Linked DNA regions of Caenorhabditis elegans. The protein of the gene in region 1 purifies or fractionates together with the protein of each later gene. This does not show direct contact. Each region holds a gene or a part of one and is shown in the gene's direction. Other genes may lie near its edges. The genes, in order: C24H10.2, egc-2 and Y104H12D.2.

What was found.
Region 2: the proteins of C24H10.2 (region 1) and egc-2 fractionate together in Caenorhabditis elegans (co-fractionation; one large-scale study listed by BioGRID). This does not show direct contact.
Region 3: the proteins of C24H10.2 (region 1) and Y104H12D.2 fractionate together in Caenorhabditis elegans (co-fractionation; one large-scale study listed by BioGRID). This does not show direct contact.

Annotation. Positions count from the first base shown.
Region 1 is NC_003284.9:5,062,113-5,067,801, forward strand, and holds C24H10.2 (uncharacterized protein), read left to right. Parts: upstream 1-2,489; 5' UTR 2,490-2,531; coding exon 2,532-2,579; intron 2,580-2,633; coding exon 2,634-2,690; intron 2,691-3,195; coding exon 3,196-3,360; intron 3,361-3,414; coding exon 3,415-3,570; intron 3,571-3,625; coding exon 3,626-4,183; 3' UTR 4,184-4,551; downstream 4,552-5,689.
Region 2 is NC_003282.8:8,900,040-8,904,808, forward strand, and holds egc-2 (CCHC-type domain-containing protein), read left to right. Parts: upstream 1-1,606; 5' UTR 1,607-1,621; coding exon 1,622-1,678; intron 1,679-1,724; coding exon 1,725-2,346; intron 2,347-2,393; coding exon 2,394-2,711; intron 2,712-2,757; coding exon 2,758-2,921; 3' UTR 2,922-3,138; downstream 3,139-4,769. Other genes in the region: rad-54.L2 (Helicase ARIP4), read left to right, coding at 1-683, 727-876, 923-1,008; Putative serine/threonine-protein phosphatase C27B7.6, read right to left, coding at 3,208-3,361, 3,662-3,742, 3,850-3,979, 4,061-4,292, 4,391-4,585.
Region 3 is NC_003282.8:1,175,187-1,183,364, forward strand, and holds Y104H12D.2 (DUF7930 domain-containing protein), read left to right. Parts: upstream 1-2,835; 5' UTR 2,836-2,852; coding exon 2,853-3,001; intron 3,002-3,112; coding exon 3,113-3,254; intron 3,255-3,360; coding exon 3,361-3,600; intron 3,601-4,300; coding exon 4,301-4,401; intron 4,402-6,127; coding exon 6,128-6,350; intron 6,351-7,405; exon of another isoform or gene 7,406-7,475; coding exon 7,476-7,604; 3' UTR 7,605-7,678; downstream 7,679-8,178. Other genes in the region: cec-2 (Chromo domain-containing protein), read left to right, coding at 1,250-1,489; rmif-2 (RecQ-mediated genome instability protein 2 homolog), read left to right, coding at 7,789-7,897.

The DNA of each region.
Region 1 (5,689 bases):
TTTTCTAAATTTTATGTTGCTTCCAATACTGCTTTTTGATTGGTTAACTGAGAAAAATCATTATCGGAAATACACTGTAAATAAATCATGTATTCCCATCTTGAAGAATTAAAATTTTTAAATTAGTTTTATTTGTTTTGCTTTTTTACAGGATATGAGATAATTGATAAAAGGTTTTATGAGACCATATGTCGTTAAATACACAGTCAATTTGTGGGTGCAAATGATGCTATGTTTTTCAATCTTGGAGTTTTTAATTGTATTGTTGTTATTGAAACTGAGCACATTTTTAAAAATTAGTACTGTGACTTCTATTGGTCCTGCACTTTTTATGTTACGAGACCCGCTCCAATAAGTGGAAAGTTTTAATGTGTATCATAGGCCCACATTTCTTTTTCGTGTATTATAACCCCAAATTTGTAAAATGCAATGGATTAGCATTCAAACTTTACAATTACTTAAAAACTTAGGCTTAGAAAATAATATTCTCTAATTGTAAGCCTAAACCTAGTGTAAGCCTAATGAGAGCACAATAAAAAAAAGGAGAATTAAAACATTAACTAATTTAATTTTCAAATGTTGGGTACCAAATTTTGTTTTAAATTTAAATTTTCTATTTTACAATAACAATTAACGTTCCAAAATTACATAAAGAGTGGTTTATCATTTTCTAGTTATATGTCACCTATCAATCAATTGTTTTTTGAATTAGCTTTCGAAAATGAACTCCAAACTGTATCAGCAGCAATGTGAAAAGAAGCAGCAATGTGAAAATGAAGTAAGGATGGGCTTAATACGTGTCAAGGATGGCAGATGGACAATTCTGATGAACGATTGGTGTCCACGATACGAGAAACGGCCTGCTGGAAAGCATACAATCAGATGAAAATTGAAAAAAGAGACGTTTTCAAACTGTCCAAATAACGGTCCACTCAAACAAAGGACCAAAATACTGGAATGATCTTATTTGAGCCATAGCCAAAAAACCGACAAAAGTAGCTAATATTCTAATATACGTAGACGGAGCCAATAGCAAAGTTCAGCATAGAAAATATTATTCAATACAAAAACTGTAAAAGCCTCATTAAAATTTGCTGAATATTCTCGTAAAATAAATATATTTGTTTTAAGTGATAAGGGTTTTCAAATTTGAAGAATTGAATAACGAAACTTGTAATTTTCTATCAAAAAAAACGCTTCAATAAATTGAAACTTCTTACTCAAAACTGAAGCTCGAATCTCAAGCGATCTGTATCTCAAGACATTATTAATTCCAAAATTTTTTCTGCGTTTTTGCTTCAAATTTTTGAAATTTTTAATTTTTGTAGGGGAAGTCTAAAAACGAGTAGCATCAAAATTAAGAAGAACATTCAAAAATCCTAATAAAATTTACATAGTTTTGATTTATTTAGTAATAATATAAATTTTTTAATGGTTTTAAATTTTAAATATCAGAAAATTTGTAATCTGATACAGATTGTTACTATACGGGCATTTGATTTGCAATCACAAAAACATGAACTACATTTGGAATCAATTTGAGGTGAAGTTTTTTAACATTCTAAATTATAACTGATGTTCAAAAATGGTTAAAATCTTCAAAAATTTCAGAAGAATATTCCAAACTATTCTATCATTCCGATAGTTTTAGGTACTTTCATAAATTGCAAAATACTTAGTCTTTATTTGTCCATTACTGTTTATTATGGTTATTCTTTGATTTCAGACCACCATCCTTGCATGTATTGATTCCAAATTAACTTTTGCTTTTGATCTTTCATTTTCCCCACCGTGTTAATTGATAACATATTTTTATCATTGAAACAGACCCTGGCCCGTCGTATCGGGAAACATCAGTGAATCGATAATGAAAAACGTCTCTCATTTCGTAAGCCTCACTAACCGATTGGCCCGGGCAATTTTGTTGGCCGCGGCCCAGGGACGTTTCGAAGACAGAGACGACTCATGCTCACCGCTGCTCTGCTCTCTTTTCGTTCTTCTTGACATAGGGACGCGCTCAGAAACGTACGGAGCGGAGCGGAGCGAGTAGAGAGTTCCACAGCGCACATTCACACTCACAACCATCTGCGCTCACACCACTCACAAACACTCATGGAGGCAAAGGAAAGGACGAGCGCGCGCGCGCAATTGAGTGCCGTTCTGTGTATCACCAAAATCTTTTGAACGTTCAGTTTTTCTTAGTGCTTTTTCACTTTTTGCACATTGGGTGTACTTTTCATATATATTTTTGGTTCTATTATTGATAAGGGGATGTATTCGTTTTTTTTTCTTCATCCAACCCAGAACGTTTATATATTCAAAGCTAATTCATCTCTATTGAAAAAAAAACCAATTCTTTATTTTCAAAAAACCACGACATCTCTTATCTGTCTCGTTTTTCTTTGAAACTTTTTTTGGGCGGTGCCAGCTTGATTGAAAATACAGTTTTGTGTTGCTATCATTGTTGAATTTTTGAATTTCGCTTTGATAAACATTTTCATTTTCAGACATTGACATCTCCAGCTTGAGCCATGAATGGAAGCCAAAGGGTGCCGGAAATTTCACAAAAAATAAAAATGGTTAGTTAGTACTTACGCCTTTTGAATTAATAATGAGATTCAATTATTTTTCAGACCGGAGGATCAAAGCTGTTTGATGACGCCGTGACTGTGCAAATTAACATGAAAGAGGTTTGTGTTCTTGAGAAAAAAACGCTTTTTCGTGAAACCCACTAACTAAATTTCAAATAGCATTTCCCTTTTCCGGCTGTTCAGCAGCTGCCAGATAGCAAAAAGCCGACTAAGAAAAATGGCTCATTTTCGTGCTGGAAGAATGGAAAGAATATAGTTTTGGAGGTGGGGTAGAATCAGTCGAAATTGCCTCAGAAATCCAAATTTATCAATTAGATTTGATTAGAAACATTTCAAAATTTTAAATGACTGTTTAATATGTTCAGAAAAATTTAGAAACTTCGCCGCAACATTTAACCAAATTAAGCCAACTTTTAATTGTTTTCAGTGCTCATTTGTTGGTCATCCAATAGGTTAATCCCAACTTTACCCTAAATTTGCAAATATCTAGCTCAAGTCTAGCATTTTTTGCAATTGACATTTCTAGAATTGAAAAATATTTTCAAATAATGAAACTATTTTTCGTTTTCATGACCTATTATTTGCAAACAATTCTCAATTTCAGAACAAAAATATTGAAAAAGTCAGCAACTTCCGACGGTTTAACTCTAACCAGGCTCGTGTTGAAAAAGACAGAAACCAAGCTTCGATGATTTTTGATACTGACGACATTGACTCAGGAAATGGATCGAAAAATTCAAAAATGGAAGTGAAAATTACAATTAATATGGTACAAATTTTCAGGAATTCATATATACATAATAATTTTTAATTCATTTTCCAGAAACAAATTGAAAAGCATCATCGGGAAATCGATTCTTACATTTCGCCGTTTTCTCCATCACCGGATTCAATTTTTCTGCGCATTCCATTGTTGCCACAAGACTATGCGCGCATTGAAGAAGCAAGAGCCTCGCTTGACCAACTTGTTCGCAAATGTGTAAGTGATTTTTTGAAATTAAGATATATAAAAAATATAATAAAATTAATTTCAGCACCAAATGACTCCAAAAATCATCCCACCCAACGACGCGAAAAATTTCCTTCAAAACCTTCGACGGATCGATGTGCGTTGCAGTGCGTTGTACCCAAGGCCACCGGCACCTGGAGACAAGGAGAAAAAGAGCTACCGAATGTGTCCATGCTTTGAGCCGGAAATTGAGGACATTGAACGTCTCGTTGTTCACTATGACGGTGTTTTCCAAGCCATCAAGTATTTCCACAATCTTGACCTCTTCATGGAGCACCAACGAGCTGAGAAGAGAAATCTTTTCGGATTGGACTGTTCGGATGATGAGGATGATCATTTTGAAGATGAAGAAGAGTATGAGCATGAGTGTCGTCATCACTGTACTTGTAACAATGAGGATGAAGAAGATGTGAAGATGGGACAAGATAATGATCGTAAGAAACTCGAGAGCAAAATGATCAAAAAATTCGAACAGAAAGGTTTCTATTACAATGCGGAGAAGCAGCGAGCACTTCTACGGGAGTCTCTCCAAAAACTTGCTCTGAATTCTGGACCTGGATCTGGATCTGGATCTGGGCTCTGATAACGACTTTCAAAACTTATAGTACAATTTTATTCTGGAATCCGACTTTCCCCTTGCTTCAAAACTTGATCCCAAAATGCTGTATATTCAAACTCAAATCCCTTCTCTTTCAATTTTGTAACCTTTCCCATTGTTTTTCCGATTTTCCTTGCAACGCATTGTATATCCCGTTTATTTTTAAAAGTAAGCCAACAATTTCGAGTGTGAACCAATTCCAGATTTCCGCGTGAAACAGGTCCCTCCGTTTGTAATTACTGAACATGACTAAGAGAAGTGAGCAAAACATCGATTGTTGTAAATTTATACTTCTCGACACTAATTTCTATAGAGCATTTTAATTGGACAAAATAAAGTGAAATGTAAAAAAAGGATTTTAGGATAGCATGCATCATGAAAAAGTTACATGGATTGAAGGAGAATCCGTTCCTCAAACGCTAGGTGCTGCGAATCTGGGATACAGGTACAGCTAGGTGACAGTATGGTGATGCGATCATTCAGTCGTGAATTGCTAAACTTTATAATTAAACTGTGTGCCTAGGTGATAAAGCTCGTGGCCTCTTAGTCCACCACTACCGACTGAGCTATAAAATTTGTTAATACATATTTCAGGATTCATTGGAATATACAAAAAATTTATTTACGGCGTCGCTTTGCCTTTTTCCATTTGCTCTGAATGGAAGGTTCTTCACTTGGTACCGTTTTATTCATATCTTAAAGGTGGAGTGACGACAATGGGGACTTTGTCTAAATACAGTCATGATGATCCTAAACGATTAAATATCATGATACTTCGAATAACTTTCGATTTTTCAAAATTGTAAACACTGAGTAATTGACATTCTTTGACAGTAAATAAATATATTTCTAAAATTTTATTGAATAGGTTTACTATGCATCCACAGGAGTAGAAAAAAAAAAAAAGATAACAAAAACTGCTGAAAATAAATGATTTTGCCCGCATCCCGCATCTTTCAGAAATCTTAACAGATAAACCATGTCACAACTAGAAACACACGGCAATCAGAAAGTTGTTGTCAATTTCAGTAGTTTTTAGTTTCTGAAAATTTTGGCACGTACTAAAATTGCCGAATAAGCCAAACTGCAAGTTCCTCGTACTCCTGGTTGTTTTTCAACAAAATTCACTTCAGAAAAAACTCTTTTAAACGATACAATGCTTGAAGTCAAAAAAAACGGATATTCAAGTTCACAGATCACAGAGATACAGATAAGCTTTTTCCGGAACACATAACCATTGAGTCGCGCTCACTTCAAACCTCAACATGGAACTTGCCCCAAGCCCTAACTCGAACTTTTCTTCTTTTCGCTTCACTTGTCCGAGTGTGAGCGCAATTTTAACATCCGGATGGCCGAACTCCATTTCAAAAGCGGGTGTCTATCTATATTTGACACCCTCCATGCCTCACCTTTCTCACTTCCAAAATCTTTTGGCAGGTTGTCAGTGTGAATGACCATCAGTATGGAAGTAGTTGAAATTTTGAAAAAACA
Region 2 (4,769 bases), on another chromosome or scaffold:
ATGGAATACAGATGATTGGGATTTCGGAGATCCGGTTCTAGACTCAATCACTAAGAGAATGAGTCAAATGTTTGCCGGGAAACCGTTCCTTCATGAAACCTTGATAATGGAGTCAGAGCAATCACTCAGCGAGCAGGAAAAACGAGAAGCTCAATTACTTTTTGATAGAGAACGACGTATGGAGAACTATGATCCATTGAGTGGCCTGAGCAGTTCTAACTTTTATAACAATGCTCCTGGAAGCTCAATGGGAATGATGGGTCCACCACCAGTTCCGATGTTCAATAATAACATGCAAAATAGTTTCAATAATCATTGGCAACAATCTCCTAATCAGCTTGCACCCAATTTTGGATCTTATCCACCACAGCAATTTCCACAACCGATGCCAAACATGTCACAATTTCCACCTCATGGACCATCACCTCAAATTCCATCAATTCGTCCATCACCAATGCCTCACACGCTTCGAATGAATGTCAGTCAATTCCATCACCAAGGAGGTGGTCATACGATGACGTCATTCAACAATGGCTATCCGAATAATAACAATGGAGGAGCTATAGGAAACCCTCAACAAATGCTTCCTCCAAGAGATCCATCAGCTTTTCCGGGAGCTGTTATGAGCAAAATACCATCATTTTCCCCGGCTGGAGCAGTTCAACAATTGATTACTGATAGACGTGAGTTTGACGTTTAAGTTTTTTTGAAAATTCAAATTTTTAGAACTCGTTTTTCCCATTGTCGGACATAGAGATCAGCTTCATCAGGTTCAGGCAAATACACCAATACAGTTAGTTGTTCCGAAAAATGGATATTATGTGAAACTACGTGATGGAACAATTCTTGACGCTGTCGGAAGTGTTTTTGAGAATCGTTAGTTTACTAGAAAAAATTTCGTATAATTTTTTAAAATTTATAGATGCCCGTCAGCTTCGTGATATGTATCTAAGCAAAAATTTCAACCATGATCCGCAGCAGGTTCAAGAAGTCATCGATCTTGATTAACAACGTCTTGCATTTTTTTCTTTTGATGTACATTTCGTTTTTTATCATATAAAATACAACATCTATCTCAATGCAACATCCAATGAGATCTCTGATAATTCACTATCATTTTACTCAATTATTTTTCCTCTTATAGAGGCTCCTAAATTAATTTTAGGCAAGTTTCGAATTTCCACATTTCAACTTTGTCCACACTCTTCCCTTTTATCATTAGTATGTCAATTAATTAAATTTTTCTGTTTTTTCCAACACAGTAATCAGCTCCGCTGTTCGGCAAGCTGCCAATTGTGTTTTATACGCCTTCTCTTTTAATTTAATGAATAAATACGAATAATATTTAAATTATCGGATTCGCTTGAAAGAGAAATTGGAATAACATTTTTCCGCAGATCCCCGTTTTGTAGTGCCTCTTAATAACGCGTTTTTAAATACTGACTTGGTTACTGTAGGTTTTGGTCCCGACACGAAATTCTGAACTCGTTCGGCACGTTTCTTCAATTTTCTTCATTTCTCTCACCCATTTCTGATGAATTAATGGTTTTTAGATTAATTTTTAAATATTCAGCGTTCTGCCAGTTTCTCAAAATAATTTTTTTAGACATTTCGGTCGGATATGTCGGAATTGTCGAGTGAAATGAAGTCAATGGAAAACGGAATGTCGGCGAGAACGGTATTTTTTATCAAATTAATGACAATTTGTAAACTATTCATTTCAGGACAGACAACATTATCTTGAGAGAGCTCAATACTCTCCATGGCCAAAAACTCAAAATAGTGGAGCATTCGGAGCGCTAACTGATCAACCGAGAAAGTATCGAGGAGGATTTGGAGGAGGTGAAGGCTTCTCTGATTTTGGATCCGTTAGTGGACTTGGCGGTAGAATCCCCAGAAACTCCTCTCACCTAAACGACAGTTCTGGATTTGGTTCCGTACGAGGAGGGTACAGCAGTTATCGAGAAAGCAGATCATCTCGTGTTGCTGTTTCGGATGCTCTTTACATGAATAATGAACGTTGCGTGACACCTCTGCCATCTGAGAATATAATGGGTAGTCCACGGCGTGGATCTTTCCGAAGTTCGCCCCGATCCGATGGTATGGGATCTTCATCGAAGAGACCACGCTCTGGCCGCCGAACCGGTAGACGTGGGCGAGGTGGGCCAGGCCACTGCTTCCATTGTCAAGAGCATGGACACATTTCGAGAATGTGCCCGAAGAAGGTTGGAGAAACGGATGAACACGGAGATGGAAAAGATATCGAAGTGGAACCATTTGAGACGAAAGATTTACTCCAAGAAGACGCATCAAGATACTCTTCTAATATGAAGGCTTTGCATGGAGGTTATTGTTTGAATACTAGGAAAACGTAACAATTTTTATGTTTTCAGGTGGACTGTATCAAAGCAAGTTGGACAATCAAAAGGCCCGTGAGTCTTATTATGGAGGGTACGGCTACAGCATCAACAGTCTCACCCCAAGAAGTGTTGGCAGCGTGAGAAGTGGTTTCACAGCACCAATGATGTCGCCCGAAATTGACAAATTCTCAGAGCAGTTGGACAATGCTTTGAAGCTCAGCAATGTCGAGCCGGTAGCTCCGTCGCCATACGTGATGACTATCACTGGAAAAGGGCCAGCTGAAAAATTGATGAAAGAAGTGCCACCAGTTGCTCCAATCAACACTCTACAGAGCAGAGAAGGAGCCAAACGTGAGATTATCAAAATTCTATAATTGTATAATGTTCATTATTACAGAAATTTCTACGGAGACTTTGTCAATCGAGACACGCAGAACTGTGATGCGCGATGGAGAATTCCACTTCGAGGAGACGACTATCATCAATTTCCCACGAGTTCTTCCGCCCAACGTCCGTGTCATCGCTGCCCAGTTCGTGCCGGTCGCTTCACAAAATTCATAATTTCTGATAATTATGATGCTATCAAGGAAAATGTTTAATAATTACTATTGGGAACTCTGCCCAATTTGCAGCGTATTTTTACTGTTTTTCATTGTTGTTCCATTTATTGACTTCTAGGTATTGTTTTTTACGTTCTGGAATTGTTTCTGTCCTAAATTTGAAAACTTGTATTTTTGATTTGAGTCTTCAACCTCATTTCATAAAAGTGTTTCATGTTACTCTCGTTTCATAATTATACACACTCAAACTTGAACATTTTCTACAGTATACTTCATTCAAAGGAAATCTACGCATTTTCAGTAGAACTCGGAGGCGATCGTGGAATTGGCGGAGATTGGGCGAGTGGAGCGTCCGGAGATGGAGTTCTTGGCGGAGGCGGCGTCGTACTAGTAGTCATTCCCAATTTTTTGCGGATTGATTCAAGAGACATGACTTTATCTCTGGAAATATTGTAAACATGAAAAAACTTCTTCGCATATAAAAAACCAGCCGTGGACCGCACCTTCGGCGCGGCCCCCGACTTCTGGGGCTGAAAATTAATTTTTTATGAAACTACCGTAACCCTACAGTATTCCTACCGTACCACTATTGTACCACTACAGTACCCCAACTATATCCCTACACTAACCCTAACTCACTATCCCTCCAGAAGCCAAAACTTCACAGACTACAAAGGCTACATAGACTACAAACTATGGACACACAGAATAAGCGCTTTATATATAGTAAATGATACTTACTTCAAACTAACTTCTACTCCATATCCTTTCTGTGTCTTGCGAATCATGTCCAATACAGAATGATCTTCATCTTGGTTTGAGCTGGAAATTACACATATTGAAAATGCTCCTATAACATGATTGTGAAGTCATGTTTCCGAATAATTAGACGGTCACATTTTCCAGAGGTACTGAAGCTTTAATCTCACCTATAAGGCTTCTTCACAGGTGTCTCATTGTCTTTCTTACAAAACTGTGTTTCATGGGCAAACATCGAGTATTCTCCAAGAAATGGTGACATTTTCTGCCCGTTTGGTGGAACATTGAATTGGCAACTTACTGTAAAAAATTGAATATTAAAACAATCGGATAAGTATGTTGTTTTTATAGATTTTTGCAATAAATAATAGGAGAACTCACTGTTTTTTCTAGGATTCTCATCAAGTGGCTGAAAGTTTTTTTCGAAATCGTGAAGAGTTCTCTTGTCCAATTTAGAGCGATCATATCCCTTATTAGGTTTCAGAGTCACGATTCGCAATTTCAAACTTTTACTGATTGTAGCAACTGATCCCAAATTGGAATTGTGTCCAGAATAATAAGGCGCTGAGAAGACTGTCAGAAGACGGTTGTCAAACTCAAAAGTATGTCCTTTCTGGAAACAAAAAATATTTAACATGCGAAATTGAACGATTCGCAATTTTCAAATGATTATACTACCATAGATGAAAGGTATAGATGAAAAACATAAACCTCTTTCATTTCATGAGCTCTGATAATCAGGTCAATAGCAAGTGTAGTGCACAAATTGTCAACGACTGATTTTCCGAAAAGTGTCGAAATTCCTCGCATTTTATTGAATTGAATTGTGTCATCTTTTCGATTTGGATCAGACCAAATGAGATCAACGATCAATCCATGTTCACAGTCACCATGGACACGGGGTTTCTGCAAAAAATTATTTATCAGCGACACAGTGGCCTTGTGACAACGGACAATTTGATTGTCAGTGTCCTATTTTTTCCAAACACACTCAGATATAAAAGTTCAACGTATGTATATATCAGGGCTGCGCGGCAATCGGAAATTTCTGGCAATCTGCAATTTCGGCAATTGCCGGTTTTCGAACTTT
Region 3 (8,178 bases), on another chromosome or scaffold:
TAAAAATAAATAATTTTTGTTTCAAAATGATTCGAAAATGTGTGAAAAATGGGGCTTTTACAACAAATTTTATATGGAAATCGCGATTTTCGTACGATTTTCAATGAAAATTTTGAATTTATCGTGAATTTTCTCTACAAATCCGGAAAACGTGATTTTTCAGCCGTGAAAGTGCGATTTTTGAGCTGCGAAAAACTGCGAAAACTCCTGGTCCTGTGCAAACACATCGGTAATACACCGAACCTTACGACAGAATGCAGAATAATCCCGTTTAAACGTAGAATTTGAATTTTTCGCGTTTTGTCGTCAAAATTTTGCGCAATTTAATACTTTTTGTAGAAAAACTCCATTTTTTACCAAAAAAAAACCGTTCAAATCCAGTTTTCCGGTTACTGTAGCCATAAATCGGTGTTTACACCAAATCTGACGACAAATTGCAGAAAAAAGTCGAAATTTCTGCAAGTTGTCGTCGAATCCGGTGTTTCTTAGATTACTGTAGCCGTATATATGTGCAGTACACAGAATCTTACGACAAATTGCAGAAATGTAAAAATTTCTTGAATTTTCGGTAAGAATTGAGTTCAAAAACGTGAAAAAGTAAAGAAAATGGCTTTTTTTTTAAAGGTAAATTTCACCGAAAATTCGAATTTTCTGCGAATTGTCGTCAAATCTGGTGTTTCTTGGATTACTGTAGCGTCAGATGTGTGCAAAACACTGTATTTTACGACAAATTGCACAAAACTTGAATTTTCAGTAAAAATTGAGTTCAAAAACGTGAAAAAATCTAGAAAATTGCTTCTTTTTTTTTTGTTGATAATTTGACCGAATATTCAGATTTTTCTGCAAATTGTCGTCAAATCTGGTGTTTTTTGGATTACTGTAGCGTCAAATTTGTGCAAACACCTTTTACTTGAATTTTAGGTGGAAATTGAGATCAAATTGCATGTTTTAGGAGATTTTCAATAAAAATTTAAATTTTCTGCAGTTTGTCGTAAGATCTGGTGCACTGCAAACTTTTGGTGCTACAGTAACCTAGTCCACACTAAATCCTACGAAAAACTGCGGAGTTACGACAAAAAATATAGAAAATTTCATTTTTTTTTAAAGGTAAATTTCACCGAAAATTCGAATTTTTTGCAAATTGCTGTCAGTTTCAGTGTATTTGCGCAAGATTTTCATCCAATTTTCATTGAAAAATGCGATTTTCGCCCTGAAAAATCTCAAAATTTTTTAATTTTTTAATTTCCAGAACCGCTTCAACGCCCACATCGATGTCCCATGCTTCACCCTTTGGATGAACGGAAAAATGTGCGAAAAACTTGAAAATTCGCATGGATTATCGATTTTTCGGCCGCTCGGCACAGTGCTCGACGTCAACGAACTGAAAATCAAGATTACTGAACATTCGTCACGTTTTGTCGCAATTTTGCCGGTTTTTAATTTGAATTCCGACTGGAAAAATTGTTTTTTTCCCCTGGAAAATCAATAATTATCGATTTTTTTCTGTTGAATTCGTATTTTCTATAATTTGCCGTCGTTTTCACTCGATTTCCCACTGATTCATAATAATTTTCTTTAAAAACCCACTGAAAAATCGATTTTTCCGCTAGGGAATTAATTATTATTGATTTTTTTTTGATAGAAAATCGATTTTTATCGATTTTTCGCTAATATTTAAAAATCAATTTATCCTAATTTCTCACTGAAACCCCCCCCCCCCCTATTGCTATCATGAATTCATGATAGTTTTCTTTAAAACCCACTGAAAATCGATTTTCCGCTAGAAATTTATCGATTTTTCGCAAATTTTTCATCACTTTTTCCCGATCTCGTTGTTTTTATCCCGATTTCATGTCAAAAAAATCAATTCCGATTACAATTCCATGACCAATTCTAAATTACAGAAAAATCGATTTTTTACGAAATTTATCGATTTTTCGCTATTTTTTCATCACTTTTTCCCGATCTCGTTGTTTTTTTTTTGAATTATTGCTAAAAATCACTTCCGATTACAATTCCATGACCAATTCCGCCCAAACTATCGATTTTTTGCTTGAAAATCGATAATTTTTCAACCGATCTCTTGTTTTCTTTTTAATTATCATTAAAAATCACTTCCTCTCACAATTCCACCACCATTTCCGCCAACAAAATCCACAAAATTATCGATTTTTCCGCCGGAAAATCGATAATTCCTGTTTTTTTTGTATTTTCCCCTATTTTCTTAATTAAATTGCTTGTAGAATTGCCTAGTATCCTAGAATTCTAATAGTAACCGCTAATATTATTGATTTTTCCAAAAAAACCCTGAAATTATCGACTTTTACCTAAAAATTGTCGTTTTTCTTCTGTTTTTATTGTGTTTTTTCGCCGAAAATTGTCGCATATTGTTAATAGAATCTCATTTTCTGCCCAACATGGCGCAATTCTTTTAATTTACCCTGACTAATGTGCTTTTTCTCACTTTCTACACCATTTTTGTGAACTTTTATCGATTTTTTTTTCTCGTGATTTTCCCCCATATATCATTGACCTACTTCACACATATGCAACTTCTGAACACTGGAATAAATTTATTAATGTTTCATTACTAAAATCTTTTGAAATTGCGAATTAAATTGATTTAAATCGGGGTTTTGCCGCACTTTCTGCGATATATTGCAATTTTTCGGTTTGAACTCCCGCGCATTTGAATTAACGACACTCCGATATCCCGCCAGCGCGTGTTGTTTATCGCGTTTTGTTTTTTGAATAAAATTGTTTATTTTTGAGCCAAAATCTTTGATTTCAACGGTTTTTTCGTGATTTTTTGTTAGAATAACTGAAAATTTAGAGATTTCAAGCAAAAAACTATGCCAGAACCAACGGAATTGTCTGGAATCATCTCAAAACTTGAGGAAACCTACGCATTCGCCACCACCAGTCTTGGAAACGTATTTATACCGATTGCAGCGGCCAGAACCAAGAACGAGACGCTTTTAAGCTTGCTCGACAAGTTTTCGTGAGTTTTTTTTGCTGGAAAAGTTACATAAATCAATTAAAAATCAAAGTTTTGGGTGAAAATTCAAGTTTTTTCGAACTTTTCCCGGAAAAAATCGATAAAGTGTTTCAGATACAACGAAACTGTGCAAATGGTGGTTATTAAACAGATAGGACGCAAAAATAACTGCAATTATCAGGCAAAACTCGTGAAAAAGCTCGAAGGCTCAATGTTGGCGGCCGCCAGAATTTCCAATGAAGTTTTCGGGCCATTGGTGGGTTTTTAGGGTTAAAAACTTGGTTTTAAGTGAAAAAATAGTCAGAAAATTGAATTTTCCATAGTTTTAAAGCTAAAAAATCTCGAAAATCCCGTATTTCCAGATCGCCCAGGTGACCAGCACCACGGATAGCTACGCGTTTGCTCAAAACGACGAAAAAGGCACAATTTTCGTGCCGGGAGACGCTTTTGACGCGAAAATCGTGAAAAATGTGGGCCGATACGTGAATACCAGCAATCAACTGGTGCTAAAAATCAAGGAGCAAATCGAACGAAAAGGGTGTAAATGGGTCGCTGTTGAGGCTGTAAAACACTTTGTTGTCGAGGAAAATGAGGAGAAAGAGGTGGAAAATCGAGAAAAATCGATAAATTTTGATCTAGAGCTCGGAAAACTGCTGAAAAAGTGAATTTAGAGCAGAAAATTGGAGTTTTGAGCCGCCGAATGTCCAATGTTCAAGTAAAAAAATGTGAATTTAGAGCTAAAAAATTTAAAAAATGGCAAATTTCGACTAAAAATATAACTTTTCTCCCGAAAAAACGAATTTTTATGACAAAGTTGAGCCATTTTGGTATTTTTGCCCAAATTTCAGCTAACAACTTAAAAATGATCTAAAATATCCAAATTTTTGTATAAAAACCTAAAAGTTCTCCAAAAAGTTCAATTTTTTGCCCAAATTTCCGCTAAAACCTGGAAAATACTCTAAAATACCCAAATTTTTGTATAAGAACCTAAAAATTGCGAAAAAATATCCAAAAAAAAAAAAAGACTTTTTGTCCAATTTTCTGTTCAAAACACGGAAAAACTATCCAAATTGCACTAATTATACAAAAATCTGTTTTTTTTGGCCAAAAAAAATTTTTTTTCGGCTAAAAACTCGGAAAATTAATTAAAAATGCCCAAATTTTTGCCTAAAAACCGAAACATTGCAAAAAATTCACAAAAAACTCAATTTTCGCCCAATTTTCGAGCTGAAAACACGAAAAATGCTCAAATTTTTCCCCCAAAATATGCCGAAAATCAATAAAAATTTCAATTTTTTTCAGGCGGTAGCAACTGGAGAAGTAAAAATTTCGTGGGGAGTCGTTGTGGAAGTTGATGAAATGGAAGCACATGTATTAGATGAAAAGAATGGAATACTTGTTACGTTAGTAATGTTAAAAACTAAAAAAAATCTTAAAAATCTTAATTTTATAACTTTCTGTAAAAAAAACGAAAAAAAAAAATCGAATTTTTAGATAAAAACTCTGTAAAATCGAGAAAAATTGACTGTTTCGGGCTTATTTTCAGACAGAAATTAGAAATATAAAAGCTAATTTCACAGAAACATAAACTTTCACTAAAAATTGGCTTTTTACAAAATTTCTTCAGTGAAAATCTGGAAATTTTACCAGAAAAATTCCGGAAAAATGTCAAAATGTTGACCATAAATCGAAATTTGTACAAATTTTCGGAGAAAATTGCATTTGATCATCAAATTTCATCAGTTTTTACATTTTTTTCAGTGAATATCATACAATTTCACCAAAATATTGGAAAAAAATCGGGAAATTCACATTTTCTATGTGGAAAATATAAGAAACCAGCCGTGGACCGCACCTACGGCGCGGCCCCCGACTTTTTGAGAAAACACATTAGATATACGGTGTCTATCGCGGACCTCGATCGATGTCTGCTGCGCACTTAGCATAAGGTTTCCCAAAATTTCGTTGCTCTGATCAGAGATCAAACTACATAAGGACAGAAGGACACGCGCTTTATATATAGTAAATGATATAGGAAAAATCCTGGAATTTTCCAGATTTTTCTGTGAAATTCTAGAATATTTTTGGTTGAAAATGTCAAAAATCCAGAAAATTTTCAGAAAATTTCCCTGTATATTGTCTGTGACTTGTGTGTTTCTCTATCCGAATTGATGGTTTGAATAGTGGTATTCTCGGCTGAAATATGCAATAAATACCGTATTCCAACCAACAATTTGTGCAATAGAGCACATTTGTCACTGGAGATGCAGAAGCTATGCCCAAATTTTCATTTAGCGCGGAAATTTGGCTGTTTTCGGGTGTAAAGTAGAAAATTTGGAAATTTCGACATTAAAATTTATTATAAAATTTGAAAAAAAATCCATAAAAATCCCTTTTTTCTGACAATTTTCTGTTAAAAATTGGTAGTTTTTTGGGTTTTTTTAAATCCCAGTTTCCGAGGAAAGCTATAAATTTGGGTACGGTAACTCGGAATTTATGATGTTTTTTTTTAAAGCTGTAAAAACTGAAAAATTCTGCTCAATTTCCAATTTTTGTTGAAAACCTAGTGGTTTCTTGGATTGTTCTAATTTTTTATCAAAATCCTGCTGAAAATTAGAATTTTTAGCTTTTCCGCTTGTTTTTCGGAATTTTTTGTGGCTTTTTCCAGGTAAAAAATCCGTTTTTTACGGAAAAAACGGCAAATTTTTGAATTTTTCGATGTTTTTCCCATGAAAATCGGAAAATTTGTATTTTTTGTTTATTTTTAAAGGAAATTCGAATTTTTTTTCGTGGCGAGACCCAACCTTTTCAGACTTTGCGCAAAGTAGGTCAAAATTATACGGCAACTTGGCAACTGAATTTCCCAATACTGTCTGTGACTTGTGTGTTTCTCTATCCGAATTGATGGTTTGAATAGTGGTATTCTCGGCTGAAATATGCAATAAATACCGTATTCCAACCAACAATTCGGTGCAATAGAGCACATTTGTCACCGGGGATGCGGAAGCTATGCCCAAATTTTCATTTTTCAGGAAAAACACCTTTTAAAAGCCAAAATTGGGCCAAATTTCATAAATTTTTGGCCAAAAAACTTAAAATTTTCACCAAAAATCGCCTTTTTTTTTGCAGATGCCCAATTCTAAAATACACTGGCGGAGCAGATGATAGTCCTTCGGCTCGAGCACTAAATGACGTCATATCAATCGATAATCACGTTATGTTCAAAGCTATGCTAATCAATGGAAGATATGACGCTGTTGAATGGAAAAAAATTGCCGATTCTCATGAACTTGTGATGCCGAAAAAAGTGAACACGTCGGATTCGTATGCACAGACTCCTGCGTGTCTTGTGGTACGGGGTTTTGAGTGGAAATTTGGGATTTTCCGCTAAAAATGAGCTGAGAAAATCGGAAATTTTAACCCTAAATTGCCTGGAAATTCGGAATTTTGCGTTAAAAAAAGTGAAAAAAAAACATTCAATTTTAGATCCAAAAAGTTTATTTTGGAAGCTCCCACTTTGGCTGAAATTTTGATATTTCTGGTTAAATTTTACCGGTTTTATGCAGAATTTTTTATAATTTTCCACTTTAATTGGCATTTTAGAGCCTTAATTTTTACTAAAAATGCGCTAAAAATTTGATATTTTACTAACTTTTGTTAGAAATGTGAATATTTTATTAAAAAGGTTGATTTTTATGTAAATTAAATTATTTTGTCAACAAAAATTAGATAAAAATTCGGAAAACCCATTTTCCATACCGTTTTCAGATATTTCTGGCCTCCTTTGCAAAAAAATGAAAAATTGGAAATTTTCAGGAATTAAAAAAAATTCAAAATTTTTCAAATATCTAAACAAATTAGGATACTTTGACCGATTTTGCTACGCTTAGAAAAAGTTTTAGTCCATTTTCTAAATTTAAATCAATTTTCTGACGACATTTTTCAAAAAATTTGAAAAATTTCACACATTTTGACTAGTTTTTTTTCCAAAAATGTAAATTTTTTTTAAACTTTAAAAAAGTTTTTTAAATTAAAAAGCTGTAAAAACCGAAAAATTCTACCTAATTTCCAATTTTTTGTTGAAAACCTAGGATTAGCTTGGATTTTGCTAATTTTTCTCAAAATTGTGTTGAAAATCTGAATTTCTAAGCTTATCCGTTTTTTTTTCTAACATTTTCGGCGTTTTTCATCCCAGTTACCGAGGAATGCTATAAATTTTGAGTACGGCAACTCGGCAACTGAACTGAATTTCCCTGTATATTGTCTGTGACTTGTGTGTTTCTCTATCCGAATTGATGGTTTGAATAGTGGTATTCTCGGCTGAAACATGCAATAAATACCGTATTCCAACCAACAATTTGTGCAATAGAGCACATTTGTCACTGGAGATGCGGAAGCTATGCCCAAATTTTCAATTTTTCACGTGAAAACTTTGTCAAAATCACTAAATTTTCGCCTAAAAACCTGAAATATTCAGACAATCATGTTCCGAAAACTGCTCCAAAATCATCCAGAAGATATGGATCGATACTCATCAATATTGGATCAATTGCCACCGTCAGCACTTCCAGATTGCTATTTTTCCCGTGAAAATTGCACGGAATAATGGGATTTTTTTTTTGGTTTTTTTTTCGGTTTTATTCTCGAAAACGTGTTTGTCAATACTAATTATTGGGTTTTTTTTTCACAATTTTGCACTTATTTTCCGCACAAAATCGGTTAAAATTCCGGCTTTTTTTTACCTATTTTCACCCATTTTTTACCCCAAAAAACCGGAAAATCCATAGAAAATGTGCGATCGAGACGATTGTGCAAGTATCGCGAGCCGCTGCACCGGAGAAACTATCATTTGTGCATTTGTGGAATCAATCACACCGCCCAAGATTCGAGATAAGACGGGTAGGTTTTTTTTTTGCGGAAAAACTGCAAAATCCACTTAATTATCGATTTTTGGTGCGGAAAACGCCGAAAAATTGTCATTTTTGGGTTACTGTAGCCCCAAACATCACACCAATGCATCGGATCTTACGACAAAATGCAGAAAAAATTCGATTATTACGTAGAACCGCGTTTTTCCGCATTTTGTCGTAAAATCCGGTGCATTGATGCGGTTTTTGCACGGATTTAGGGATACGGTAACCACAAATTCGATTTTTCATTAAAAAATGACATAGTGCTAA